Linked DNA regions of Coturnix japonica. The protein of the gene in region 1 interacts with the protein of each later gene in a pairwise test. Links are inferred from orthologs where the notes say so. Each region holds a gene or a part of one and is shown in the gene's direction. Other genes may lie near its edges.

Region 1 (6,760 bases):
GTATCTCCCCATACAGCCTAACGCTGTGACTTGCTGCAAAGCACATGTTGCAGTTGGGGACCTCTCCCAGTTGGGCTGAATCCCTGGATGCAAAATGGTCCCTTTGCTGGAAGAAGGGATTTACTTGTCTTATTTCATTTCCCTTTTCTTTAGTAGCTCTTCCTGTGCCAACCTGAAGGTGACAGGTAAAAATCCTTATACTAGGCTCCTTATGAACAGAATTATCTACAGCTTCTTGTTGGCAGATGCTGGCACTATTTTGGAGTCTTCTCATGCAACTCATGGTATAAATAGCCACATGGAATCCATGTCCTCCAGCCCACTTTGGGTCAGGTCTGGCTTAGGAAATGGATAATGTGACGCACTGGGCTCCATGTGCCAGAAGTGCCTGCCCACTGAGTTAGCTGGCATTTGTGGGTTGCATTATTAATTGCAGAAGTCCTCTTTTAGCGGGTACAAAGCCTATGCCTCCTATCTGCTGTGGATACCCAGCTTGTTGTTACAAACACCCACGGGCCCTTCCTAAGTAGAAGGCATCCTCCCAGCTCTTGTTACTTATCAAGGTGACAAAAGCATGTTCCCACACTGGGATGGGACTAAGCTGAGGTTAACCCTCAGTGTCAGCAGGGTCCAAAGCTTCTAGAAGGTTGCAGTGCTGAACAGGGATGAATGATGGCAGGTTGCGTGGGCACAAAGACAACTGCTGAGTCTGAACTCAACAGGCAAAGCAGGTCTGGACATCAGGGAGAGCTCAAAGCAAAACTCCAGCATGTTCCCACAGCATTAACTGTGATCCAGAATGCCCTTGTTGATTTAGGCACTTCTTCATCTAAAATCCACCCCTGGGGATTTCTCTCCTCTCTCTGTGAAGCTGTTGGTTTGGATCCACAAAGGAAAACAACTTTAGCCATGAACCCGAGGACCTCCCATGCCCACCCGAGGGGCAGAGGTGCCAGAGAAGAGTTGGCCCCATTATGAAGCAGCACACCAAAGTGACCATGTCTCCCTCCACCTTCCAGGTTTCCCTGTCAGCACCTTGTCCATCTGGTTCATCACATACTGTGGAGTGCAGCTGATCAAAGAGCGTGAACGCATCCTGGCCATGGAAGAGGAGAAGAGTGAGAAACCCAAGGCAGAGTAGAGGAAGACATCAGTTGGTTTGCCCCAAAGCCTGGACTCCCTTCTGACTGCCTCTGCCAAGCCAGCTGCTGGAAAGGGCTCTCCAAGCGCTCTTGGCAATCAGACTGCTGTAACTCACCTATAGAGAAGTCATCTGGAAGGCACATGCCACCCCACACGTAGCAGACAGCTGAGATAGGCTTCCAAGACACATCCTTAAGGCTCCATCCTTTTTCTGACCCTTTGACACCATGCAGACCTAGAGATTTCACCCTCTGCTCCCCATAACACCCAATCCATCAGCATCTGGCTCTCCCACAGGACCTGCAGCCCAGGTCTCCCATCTCCAGGTCACTTCCAGCCAAAGCATCACATTTTTCTTTTGCTACAAGAAATGGCCATCACATACCGTAAATGGTTCAACATCTGGGGCTGTGCATTAAGGACTGTGAAATGGCTCAGCACAATGAACGCCTACCAAGAGGCTAATAAATAAATAGAACAGTCTTTTATAGCAAAGGGAAAGAGGTTGAGGAACTGCACAGGGAAGAGTAATTGTCTTCCCACTGCTGTCAGCAGTGCAGAGTGATGCCTGTTAGTATCTCAAAACAGGTCCCTTCAGTCCTAAGCATCTTGAGAAGTGATTTAGTGCCAGCCTCAGGTGTAGTCAGTGGCAGTACAGGAGGCATGCCTGCTTCACAGCCAGAGCACATCATGTACTGCTCGTCTGCAGGGTGGGCATGTGGAAGAAACAGCAAAGTTTCAACCAGACAAAGTTCAGCCCAGACCCAGCTCAGCCCCCACAAAGGACCCTTCGCTGTGGGTTGTGCGATGGATGTGGCCACCACAACCACCTCGCTGTGACACATGCCCAGGGACTCAAACCAAGTACCACCCAGCTTCTTTTGCATGCCATGGGCAAAGGTTTAAGCTCACATTCCTGCCTGTGGCTGAGGGCTCAGTAGCCAATTCTTGCCCATCTCCAGCCACCCAGCCAGACTTTGATGCACACAGCCTAGGCCTGTGCTACATGAACACACACACATGCATACAACCAAAGGAGAAAAGCACCAAATGAAGGGCAGCACTTTGGGGTTGGGTGGTGGAGGGGAAGTGCCTGGTAGCCTCCTTGGAGAAGTAGACTTTGGAGCACTGCATGGGAAGTGCATTGAATAAATGACCCCATGGTGCCTTGGGGAGGAGACGGGTCTATAACTGGAAATAGATCCATCTCTCTTGCACTTAACAGAAGCTTTCAGTGGCCTTATGTCTGAATGACGTCCATGTGTGGTGAGGGTAGAATCTGGACCACTTTGCAACACGGGTTGAGACTCTTGGTGTTCTGGTGACTTCCCAGTGGATGAAGCAGGAATGGTTTAACTTGTCAGCTTTCAGCTCTGCCAAAGTGATTTACAAAGTCCCCGATAAACATGATTTATTTATGTAGTAAAAAACTGTTGGACATCTATGGTGGCTACCATTCGTTAATGTTGTGTTGCTGTGATTCCAATGACCCCTGGGCGACGTGCTACCTTGGGAACTGGGAGATCCAGGGGTCTGTTTGCAATTTTGACATCTAAGGACTTCAAAAGAGACCCACTCGTCATTATCAGATTGAAGCCAGTGATGTGTGGCTGGAGCTTCATTTGTATTTTGAGTCTACTGCCGTGCTGGTATAATTTTACAAGCCTACTGCTGTAAAACTGTTGTCTGTGTGGATTTAGAGGTAGAAGTCATGTGGGTTTTCTTTTTGGGAGCCTGGCCACAGATGTTGGAAGGGCAGTAAGGTGTTGTGTTGGTTGCACCTCCAGTCACATCCATAGAACCCCTTCAGCTGCCAAGCACATCTTTTTGAAACAGAGGTCTGCTGCTGGACCTTTGGTAGGTGCCACTCAGCTGTGATATGTTGTGCCCTCTCCTAGTGTAAAATCCAGTTTTGCTCCCCTATGCAGGTGTCTGCAGACAGCTGGAACCTCCCTGAGCTGCAGGGTCCAAGGGCTCTATCCTTGTGGGCAGCCCCATGTGCACAGGAAGGGAAACAGAGTCACCACCTCCCAGTGTTGGAGAAGATGACTCACATGGCAAAGCCAATGACTCTGCACTGCCCTCCCAGCCTGGAGAGTCTGGGAGAGAAAATAACCCATTCACTAAGGATCTAAATTTACTCAGCAGCTACATCTAATGGAGCTGTCAGAGCTAATCTTAGGCACTGGTAGAGCTGTTACAGAACAGCTCGTGGGAGAACTTTGCCCACCTTTGCCTGAAGGTATCCCCTTGGTTATCACTGCTGTTAGAAGCCCAAAGGGATCCTATGTGCCAGGAGCACCAAAGCACTGCTATTACAGCCACATCTCATTGCTCAGCCTTATGTAGAAGACCCTCAGCTTCAGCATATACCACTGGGGAAAGTATCCAACCTTGTTATTGCCTGGCTGTGATAGCAAGGAAGGCAATTTTTACTACAACTACAAATCCAGATGAGTAGTTCAACTCTAGGCACCTTTTTCAACCTGACACAGCTATAATTCTTGCATTCACCTTTCTTGCTCTAAAAATCTGTACGGGAGAGAACAACCCCCCTACATTTCATCCCCTTAGGATGATTTACATACATTTTTACTCACCCTCATCCTGAGTGGGGTGACTGTTGCCCACTTGGAGACAACTGACTTAGTCCATTGGTCACTGGGTGCCACTCATTCATTGTAGTTCCATTAGACTAGGGTCAGCTGGCTGAGAGCTACTCATAACTGCCCAGCTCACAGGTGTGAGTGCTGCCACAGGCCTTCATGAGGATGGCATCAATCTTTGCCAGGGGTGGGAGGCACTGGGAACACATAAGGATATCTAGGATGAATTCATGATTTAAGTGAATGGGGAAAGATGGACCTCAGTGGAGTCCTCTCACCTCAGGCAACTGTCCAACTTGGAATCAACTCCCAAAAGCGAATCAACTCTCTGTGGCCATAGGGAGCCTCAAGAACAGTTCCAGGGTGGGAGAGACAAACCTTTGATGGTTAATCCAGGTCTTCTTTCACCAAACTCTGGAATGGGCTGACTTAATTACAGAGCAAAATGAAGGCTGGTAAAGGCCATCTCTGCCACATGGATTCAAAAATAGGGATGCTCCACACTTGGACAGGAGGTCTGAGTCTGGTTTCCCTGCCAAAGCAGGGAATGATGGTGAAAGCAATCAAAATCCAACTCTCAGATGACAGCAGACCTTGTCCTGAAGTAGTCATCCCATCCCAGGGATTTCCATCTCCCTGAATGGTGGCAAACTGATGACTTCTGCTGCCAGAGAAGCCTATGGCAGGGTGAAATCTGAAGGGGAGAAAAAGCCCATCTACAGTCAGTGCAAACTCTAACCAACTGCTTTTGAGCCCTGTTTGCTTGGAGATATCTCTGTTTTCCATCAGTCCATCATCAATCTCTAAAGTGATGAGACTCGCACACAAAGGTGGGTCAGAAGATTCCTGCACTCACGGAGCCATTGCTGCTGATGGCATTGAGCCCATCACTTATCTCCTGCCCTTGCCAGTGTGGGTTATTTACCTGAGCCAGAGCCAGTGCCTCTTTCCAATCACCCACATAGGCAAGAGACTAACATTAGTTTGTATTTTCTATAGGGGCTGCCATGTCGGGTAGATCTCACTGCATTTAGTGCTATTACCTTATGATGAGCAGTGAGAGCATCTCGTGATGTGAGGAACACGGAAGGAAATCTGGGATGGCAGCACCCACTGAGCAGCATGGTGAGAAGGAAAATAAATCAGGGCTCAGGGAAGATTAAAGGCAGGGCACGATAATTATAAACAACAGTGTGACCACATTGGAAAAGTGGAACAATAATGCAGAAGGAAGGAAGGGGAAGGATGGGTCAGTCCAGTCCCAGGAATCTGTGAGTAAATGAATATTGCTGATGGATGAGCCAGCTGAAAGATCAGTGCTCATCCTCCGGTCCTGTCTCTGAACTGATGATGTGAGCTGAAATCAGCACATGATTATAGCCCTGCTATATTACTGCCTGGGATGCTGCTGGAACATCACCAGTACGGCTTTATCTAGTGCCATCCCCTCCCTCATTACTCAGATAACCATCATGTCACAAAGCATACTTATCAACACACACATGCCAGAGCAAGGGGTTATGTGGCTTTAAATACACTAAGAAGAGTGCGGCTAATGGCTTTGCATAGATCTAATTAATTTGTTAATTAAATCTGTGCCATCTCTGAGTGTCAGAAAGCCCAAAGGGTCTATAATAACGGAGATAAAACAGACTCCTGTAGAAGTTTTACCATAATTATAAACAATCATAGTTACTCTGCTCACCTAGGTCTGCCCAAACCAATTTGCTTCCTTGAGAGCTCTGTGGGAACAGCTGGACCTGGAGCATCCAGCTGAGGCCCCATGAGGCTCTACAATGTCCATGGACATCCAAGCAGGATGCAGGACCTGGCAGAGCCCTTGGCTCTTCTGCATTGCACACTGAAGGCTGGCCAGGTTGTCCCACTTTGTCTCTAGGCTTCAGCTTGGGGGTTGAATCCCAGCAGACCTCAGCAGACCCCCAAACTCACAAGTAAATACCTGCTTTCAGGTGTCTCGGTCAGTGAGATGAAGCTCACTGTTGGGGTCTCTGAAGTTAGTTCTGCCTCAGATGTTTGTGCTTCATTCCCCATCCCCTTCCAGACCCTTGAAAACTGACTCCAGAGGAGAAGAAAGGACAAACCTGCACAGCCCTGGGGATGAGCTGGACTCAGGGATGCCACAACACATGGACTTCCCCTTCTTGCATCTTTCCATCTTTGATTCACGGCCTGTTTTTAGCACCACAAAAGATTTAGCAGTTTGGGAACGTTCTGTTTAGCAGCATCAGAGGTCTCATCCCTGCCATCCATGTCCCAAAAGGCAGATTACGGTGGTTGATTCATCTGGAGGACATTTCCCAAGTGTGGTGGAGGTGTCATAGGGTTGCACACGTCCTTCCATCAGAGGACGTGGTGACTCATCGGCTCAAAGATGGTTCCTGAAGCATCGAGGCTGAAGTACAGCTGTTCCTCCAGTCCCCTCCCTTCCCCCCTTGCCCAGTGTGTCATATTAAAGGGTGATCGGTTTACACATGCTCCAATATGGATTCCTTAAGCTTTGTAACGTAGTGGCTATATATAAAGCCCTGCGCTGGAAGCTGAAGTACACAGACAGCTGCGATAGTAGCGAGCATTTCACATTCCCAGAGTGCTGACGGGCTGGAAGCAAGGGAGACCTGCGAGCCCTGCTTTGAGAAAGTTTCCTTACCAAAGGCACACATAAAGATATATTCATAAACAGATTCAAAAGAAAGCTTAGGAAAAAATAGGAGTTCTTACTCTCCACCATGGGTTTGCCTTTTGATCAAGTGGAAGAACTGCGTCTCTACCAGCAAACCCTCCTCCAGGATGGACTGAAAGACATGTTGGACCACAATAAGTTTCTGGACTGTGTCTTGAAAGTCAAGGGAAAGGAGTTTCCCTGCCATCGGCTGGTGCTGGCAGCTTGCAGCCCCTATTTCCGGGCAATGTTCCTCTCAGACATGGAAGAGAGCAAGAAGAGGGAGGTCAGCTTGGAAGATGTCGATCCAGATGTCATGGGCAAGATCCTC
Region 2 (6,760 bases), about 27 Mb from region 1:
AAAGAATAAGCCTGACATGAGGAGTAACGAAGAGCAAAGCAAGCTTTTGAAAATCACGTCGCTGCAAACCTGCAGCACCGCCGTGTGGCCACCGGAGGGCAGAAAGAACACTCAAAAACTGATTCCATTACAGACCGTGCTCTTGGTCCTTTGAGTGCCTGACAGAGCAGCTGAGAGCTGGACAGGACTCTGAGCACCCCGATGTAGCTGTAGGTGTCCCTGTTTATTGCGGGGGAGTGAGACCAGATGGCCTTTAAGAGTCCCTTCCAATTGAGACGATTTTACAATACTATTATATTCCATGTATTCTATGTGGAAAGATACTGGTTTAGTAACTGTCTCTGCAAATCTTCATCCTTTCTGTATTAGTTAATGAAAAGCTTGAAATAGCTCTGATCTGAGAACATGAATATGCAAAACACAAACAGCTATTTTAGCTGTCTGTCAGAGCTAGTAAGTGACTTTATGCCTTGGGAGCTGGATATTCTGCTTAACAAGGTAGCTACCTGCAGTTTATAAGCTGCCTTGTTGCAGAGCTCCTTCTTCACTTTGCTCCAGGAAGGGAGATCACTTTTGTTCACGCTTTCCACAAAGCTGCCCCCAGCATAGGGACACCTTTGCCAGTCCTGGGTTGTAGAGTAATGGGAACAAGTAGTCAATTGGCCACTGGTGTAAGGAGCCAAAAATGTGGTCAAGACCTCACATACTTATTAATGTCACCTCATTTCAGCTGTTCCTTTCTGATTTCCACAGTGTTTCAGAAATAGATCTGACTGTGATGAAGTTATTCTCCACATTCTTGAGGTCACAAGACGGGTTGGCAGGAACCTCAAGATAAGTTTAACAAGAAGAACAAAGTCCTGCACCTGGTAATGAAAAATCCCAAGTATCACTACTTGCTGGGGGTTATCCAGATGGAAAGCAGCTTTGCAGATGAAGGCCTGAGGGTCCTCATGGACCTCCTGTTGAACATAAGGCAAAGAAGGCCAATAGCTAATCTGAACAACATGAGAAAGAATGTTGACAGCAAGTCATCTCTCCTGGGAAGAAAGGCTGAGCTGGGACTGTTTAGCCTAGAGAACATTTGTGAGGAATCGCATCAGTGTATTCAAATACCTAAAGGGAATCTCTTTTCAAGTGGTGCCCAGCAACAGGACCAGAGGCAATGGGCACTAACTGAAAAACAGGAGATTCTGAGCATCAGGATACACTTTTACTGTGAACATGACTGAGTATTGGCACAGGCTGCCCAGACAGGTTCTGGAGATACAAATCAGTGTCCATGGTCTTGGACAGCCTGCTCTAGGTGACACTGCTTGAGCAGGATTTGGGCAGAGATCCCTGCCAACCTCAATCATGTTGTGATTCTGTGATCTTGTGACATCCATCTTTCTCTAATTCTTTCATCACATCAGCACAGAACAATCCCTGTAGCCTAGTAAGGGGGCAATAAAAAGAGGTCTTACAGACCTTAGTTCTCTCAAGCAGCTGTCTCCCAAAGAAACTCACTAACTTGCAGATACAGGCGGGAGATGATCGCATTGCAGAGATACAACCAACTTCTTGGCAGGCAATGACAGGTTTACATGCTGGGAGATCTCTTCTATGTGAGGATTCAGAGGGTACAAGTGATGATCTAAGATATTTTACCCCCAGCCAGCACACCCTCCACAAAAACAAATAATGAATGTCATTCCTGTGGTATCTTAAAATCACAACTCTAAATCTCGCATGGAATATTTGGAAGCAAATAATAGAGTTTTTCAACAGTTGAGTAATTAATGAAATGAAGGAAAAGATTCTTCTAAGCCTTTCCATACGTTCTGGTCTAGAAGCATGAGAAAGAAGCATTAAAAATATTATTTTTCGGAATATATTGAACTTGTGAACTCTGGGAATTACTGATAGAGCTATCACACTTGTACATAGCAAAGACATTAATGTGCAGTTCCCTTTAATGTGATGGCCAAGCCATCCACGTTAAAAACAAACCAGTGTTCCAAAACCATAATAAACCAATTACCAGCTCCACTGGCTTATAACACAACAGTCCATTTAATGGGTATTCAGAAAACCTATTTATGTATTATCACTTGCCAAAAGCCTTGCTTCCAGCTTTTTTTTCCCACCACTTTTTTCCATGGCAAGTAGGATCTCCAGCTAATTTTATCCTGCTTGGTGAAAGAAACAACAGAAGAAAAACACTCTCTTCAAACACATCCATTTATTTTGACCATAATTCAACTCAAACAAAAAACAGACTGAGAGAAAAGAAAAGGTCAGCAGAAGAAAGTAAAATAGATCAAAATCTATCACCATGTCTGTCAAGCACAGGTATGCAGAAACATCCAGCAAACCAACTAACCAGAACCCATAGTCCATTGGTTCCAGATCCAACTATTTTGAAAGACAGTGTGAAAGTCCCACAAAAGACATAAGCAAAGGGTGTTGTTGTCTCTGGGAATGGAAATAAGATGTCATAACTCATAGATGACCTGATGCCGTGCTGCTTGCCTCGTGTTAAGTGTTTTAGGCTCAGCCAGTTTAGGAAGAATTTAGTAACATCCTTACAGCTTCATTCAGTCCTTCCCAATTATATTCAGCATGGTCAAATTTTCTTAGTGAAATGTATTTTGGCTTGGTTTGTAGCTGTACTTACTACTTCATTCAGGATAGGTAAAACATATCATCAGCTACTTGTATCTCAGACCCCTGCTCCCAAGTATGCTGTGGCATCTCCTATCCCTTCATGCTTTAGGCACCCAGCTGCTAACATCACCAGCTGCCACACTGCAGGCATCACTTCAGAAGATCCCCAACATTCTCTCATAGTGATGTCAAACACTACTAGAACACAGACCAGAGCATACTCACACTGTGTCACACTGAACAAGAAGGTAGGCTTAGCCTGTGCTTTTGCTCTATGATTTCCATCTAACCTTTTCTTCTGGATACAGACAGACATGCTAGGGAAAAGAGGGACTGATCCTCTGCTTTGGAAGAAAATCTCTCTGGTGTTTGCTAAACACTTTATTTAAAGGATTATTACATTCAGAAGTTAATTTTTATACAGATATGGTTCTTCAGATTAGTTTTGCTGTATCTTCCTGCCTTCCTAACTGGTCTTCATAGCTTTTTGTAACCTGAAGGCTCATAGTGAGATGATTTATTGTCTTAGCTATGGACTTCTGAAAACTCTGAGGCTGAAATGTGAAGGATTGTGCTTCCTGCTTTGGAAAAGAAATAACCCTGGAAACTAGTGATTTCCTTTTGAGCTAACTTATGTAAATGATTTCCCCTGAATTAGGAAGGACTTGAGATTTTGGTCCTGACAGTAGGTAGCTCCACCTGGCTTATTATTCCATTATCTCCCTCCTAAAGCTATCCTTTTCCATCCAATGACAGTCTTCTAGCTTTGGTGGCCTCACTGAGCAATAAGACCCTTGGTTTCTCCTATGGAGGAGCTGAGCCAATTTTCCAAGCAGCAGAATAAGACAGAGAATCGTGTCCTTCCACACACATTAAACTATGTCTAGAGTGTGGTGTTTGTAGGTATAGAATAATAAATGTCTTGGGTTGGAAGAGACCCTAAATATTATCCATCTCCAACCCCCAGCCCACCCACCAGCTCAGGCTGCCCAGAGCCCCATCAACAGCTCTGAACATTTTTCTCTTCGCAAGGCAGTAGTACTTGAATTTGAATCATCTGCATGAGATCCCTGTAATGCTCATGTAGATACCACGCAACACTTTGGAAACTGACAACAAGACACACATTCATTGTGATTTTTTTTAAAAAGTAAGGCGTAGATACAAGAGAATGTTCTGGTGGCTCCTATTGGAGGAGGAGAAAGCAGTAGTTCTTCTTCATACACTTTATCTAAGATGTTGCTGGTGCCAGTGGTATCAACCAGAGCTTTAACAAGTAACAAGAAAAAGTCCCATTACTTTTCACTTGCACACCAAGTGTTGAAATACATACAAGTGACAGGAGCACTGAAGTACTTCCCCTCAGCACACAGGTAGAATGACAATTGTGACAACTAGCAAAAAATTCCTATGAGAAATTCTGAGGAAACAGTATCACCTTTTCCATAGTGGGACTGGAACTTTACATTGAATCCAAATGATCACAAGTGAGACATTCTGAGTGCAACTCCAAACATCCTTCGGCCATCACTTGGAAGTATTTTCTATCTCCTGCCCACCAGTAACACAAAGCAACTAACAAAGCATCTTTCTAATCTGCCTCTCAGTTCTGGTTTGTTCTATGACCTGGTAGAAATGACCAATAGCTGTAGTAAAAGCAACAGTCACTCCCAGTAACTAAGTCTACACAACCAAAATATGCAGAAATCGTGTATGTTCCTTATTTAGCACCTGTATGCACAGACATATTATTATGATTATTTAGCATCTTATCCCTCTGTCCTCCCCTACAACATCAGATATGAAAAATGATGTTGCATGACCTGCTCCACTACCACAGAGAAACGGGAGGAAACACACTCTTACCGAGAAACTTTGAGTCCAATGAGGTACTGGCTCCACTTCAAAGTCCTTCACCTCCAAGTGACTTTCAAGACAGGTAAGAACAAAATTTACATGGAAAAATGATTCCATTAGAAGCATTTAATATCCAACTGTTGTTACTAAAAAGTATTTTTCTAAGGGTTGTATTTTTCTGGCATATTCTTTTCTTTCCATTATAGCCTAATGCTATGGTCTGTCAGTTCTCCGGAAAACATGATTATAACTGAAAATATGTTATGTTGTGGTTTTAGGGTTCAAATATCTCTTGAAATAATTTTCATGAAGAATAAAAATGACATGTATATTGTATTTCCAATTTGGGGAAAAAAATGCCACCCAAAAAAAGGAGCATATTTCATAAACGAATCATCAATGTTTATCATGTTCTTCTTTGATCTAGTCCTGTTTTGAACCCTTTTTTTCTTAAATCACAGATTGACCTGGAATTACTGAGATAAACTTTAAGATTAAAATTTAATGACAGGAAGCCTGCAGTTTGCTTTGGTAGTTATTAACATGTAGTAAGAAAGTTTTTGGAACCAGTGCATTATTCTACTATTTTATGGGCTAGTTGAACTGTTAGCTGGGGGTCAGCATGCGGCAGAATGCCAAGAGCTTTTAAATGTCTGTCAGTCTGAATCTTCATGGTGCTCCGCACTAAAGGCAAAATTATTTTTTGGATCTACATTTCTATTTATTTTTTTTTTTTTTTGGATAGACAACAAATTCAAGGGTTGGATTCAAGTCTGTCACCGTTTTCTGACATGAGAGTTTCTCTCTGTTGTTAGAATATTTCATTCTGAGTTTTCATGTAACATACAGGGTTCTGTTTTAGTACTATTGCTGACTTATTCCACTATTTCTTGTGTTCTGAGAAAATTGGATTTCAGGTGCTTTTTAGCTTAGATTACCTCTATTATGATTCTAGAGACTGAGTACTGCATTATACTCCTGATGCATTTCTGGAGCACATCTTCCAGTTAATTCCATCCACAAGGAACCCACTTCATGTACTCCAAGCCAAAGCACTGCAAAATAGAGACTATTAAAAGATTCATGTCAGAAGTGCACTCCTGATGAAAATTAAAATGCCTGTGCCAATGGATCCTATGTACGCTCATACAGAATTGAGTCCTAATTCTGTCCCTCTAAGAAAACATTTTCCACAGATCTGGAAGCTGCTGGCAGCACATTTTCGGTGGTGTTTGCTTCGTGTCCTGATCAGATCAGTTACTGGCATCCTTCACAAGCTCACAATCTAAGACACTTTATTCATACACTTTGGTTTGAGCCTCATACAACAAAAAGAAATTTGAAGGCAAAAATGCAACTTTTCTAAAACAAAAAAGGTGCCTGCAAATAGATGTTCTGATACCAGAACATTTACTTATTTTTCTTTCTAGCTAGACAGTTATAAGTTGCCTGGCAGCATTCAGAATACAACTAGAATCATAGGTTTCAGTAACAGAAAACCTGTATTAAAACATTGGCTATACTTCTGAGATGCTGAATGAACAGTCCTTTGTTCACAGTATCTTCTTTAAAAGTCAGTCTATCTGAGGCTGCAATTGATTTTCTCTGGGCAGAGACACTGTTTCTCTGTGTCCTCAAAATCTTTAATATCACTGGATCAATATTAACTATAAATATTTCTTTATAAAAATGAGACTTGGAGACATTTTAAGCTTAACAGAGCCTTGTTTGGGCTGAATGAGCATCACATCAGGGATCTGTATGCAAAATGCTTCATCCTACTGCTTACATAAAATGGCTGTTATGCTAATTAGGTTAGCAGCCAACAGGAATGATTTATTAATGTTTCCAATGAGGGTGGTTTAATGAATACAAATACCACAGCCATACAGATGGGGCAGTGTCTGCCTGACTACTCTGAGAAAGTGGAAAGGAAGATTTAGGAAGAACTTGAGAAAGGGATGCTTAAGTTCCTTCAGAAAGTTTAGCTTTCTGATAATCCACTGACTACCAGCTTTTTATTTTGGCTCATCCTATAACACAAATGTATTGTCCCTTGCATAATGGCAAAACCACAGAATCATTAAGGTTGGAAAAGATGACTAAGGTCATCTGATCCAAACACCAACCCATCCCCACCATGCCCACTGACCATGCCCCTCTGCCACATCTAAACAGTTCTCAGACACCTCCAGGGACCATGATTCCACCACTTCCTTGGGCAGCCTGTTCCAGTGCAGTACAACTGTTTGTT

What was found.
Region 2: the proteins of KLHL40 (region 1) and C2H7orf31 interact in a two-hybrid assay, tested with the Homo sapiens proteins (2 studies listed by BioGRID and IntAct). The two-hybrid records come from large-scale screens. The link is inferred for Coturnix japonica from reciprocal best matches to the Homo sapiens genes KLHL40 and SPMIP4.

What each region holds. Positions count from the first base shown.
Region 1 is NC_029517.1:1,781,069-1,787,828, reverse strand, and holds the start of KLHL40 (kelch-like protein 40), read left to right. Parts: upstream 1-2,812; 5' UTR 2,813-6,496; coding exon 6,497-6,760. Other genes in the region: HHATL (protein-cysteine N-palmitoyltransferase HHAT-like protein), read left to right, coding at 1,020-1,141. UniProt on the Homo sapiens protein: Substrate-specific adapter of a BCR (BTB-CUL3-RBX1) E3 ubiquitin ligase complex that acts as a key regulator of skeletal muscle development.
Region 2 is NC_029517.1:29,089,672-29,096,431, reverse strand, and holds the start of C2H7orf31 (uncharacterized protein C7orf31 homolog), read left to right. Parts: upstream 1-2,839; 5' UTR 2,840-2,897; intron 2,898-4,448; 5' UTR 4,449-4,457; coding exon 4,458-4,588; intron 4,589-6,760. UniProt on the Homo sapiens protein: Microtubule inner protein (MIP) part of the dynein-decorated doublet microtubules (DMTs) in flagellum axoneme. May serve to reinforce and thus stabilize the microtubule structure in the sperm flagella.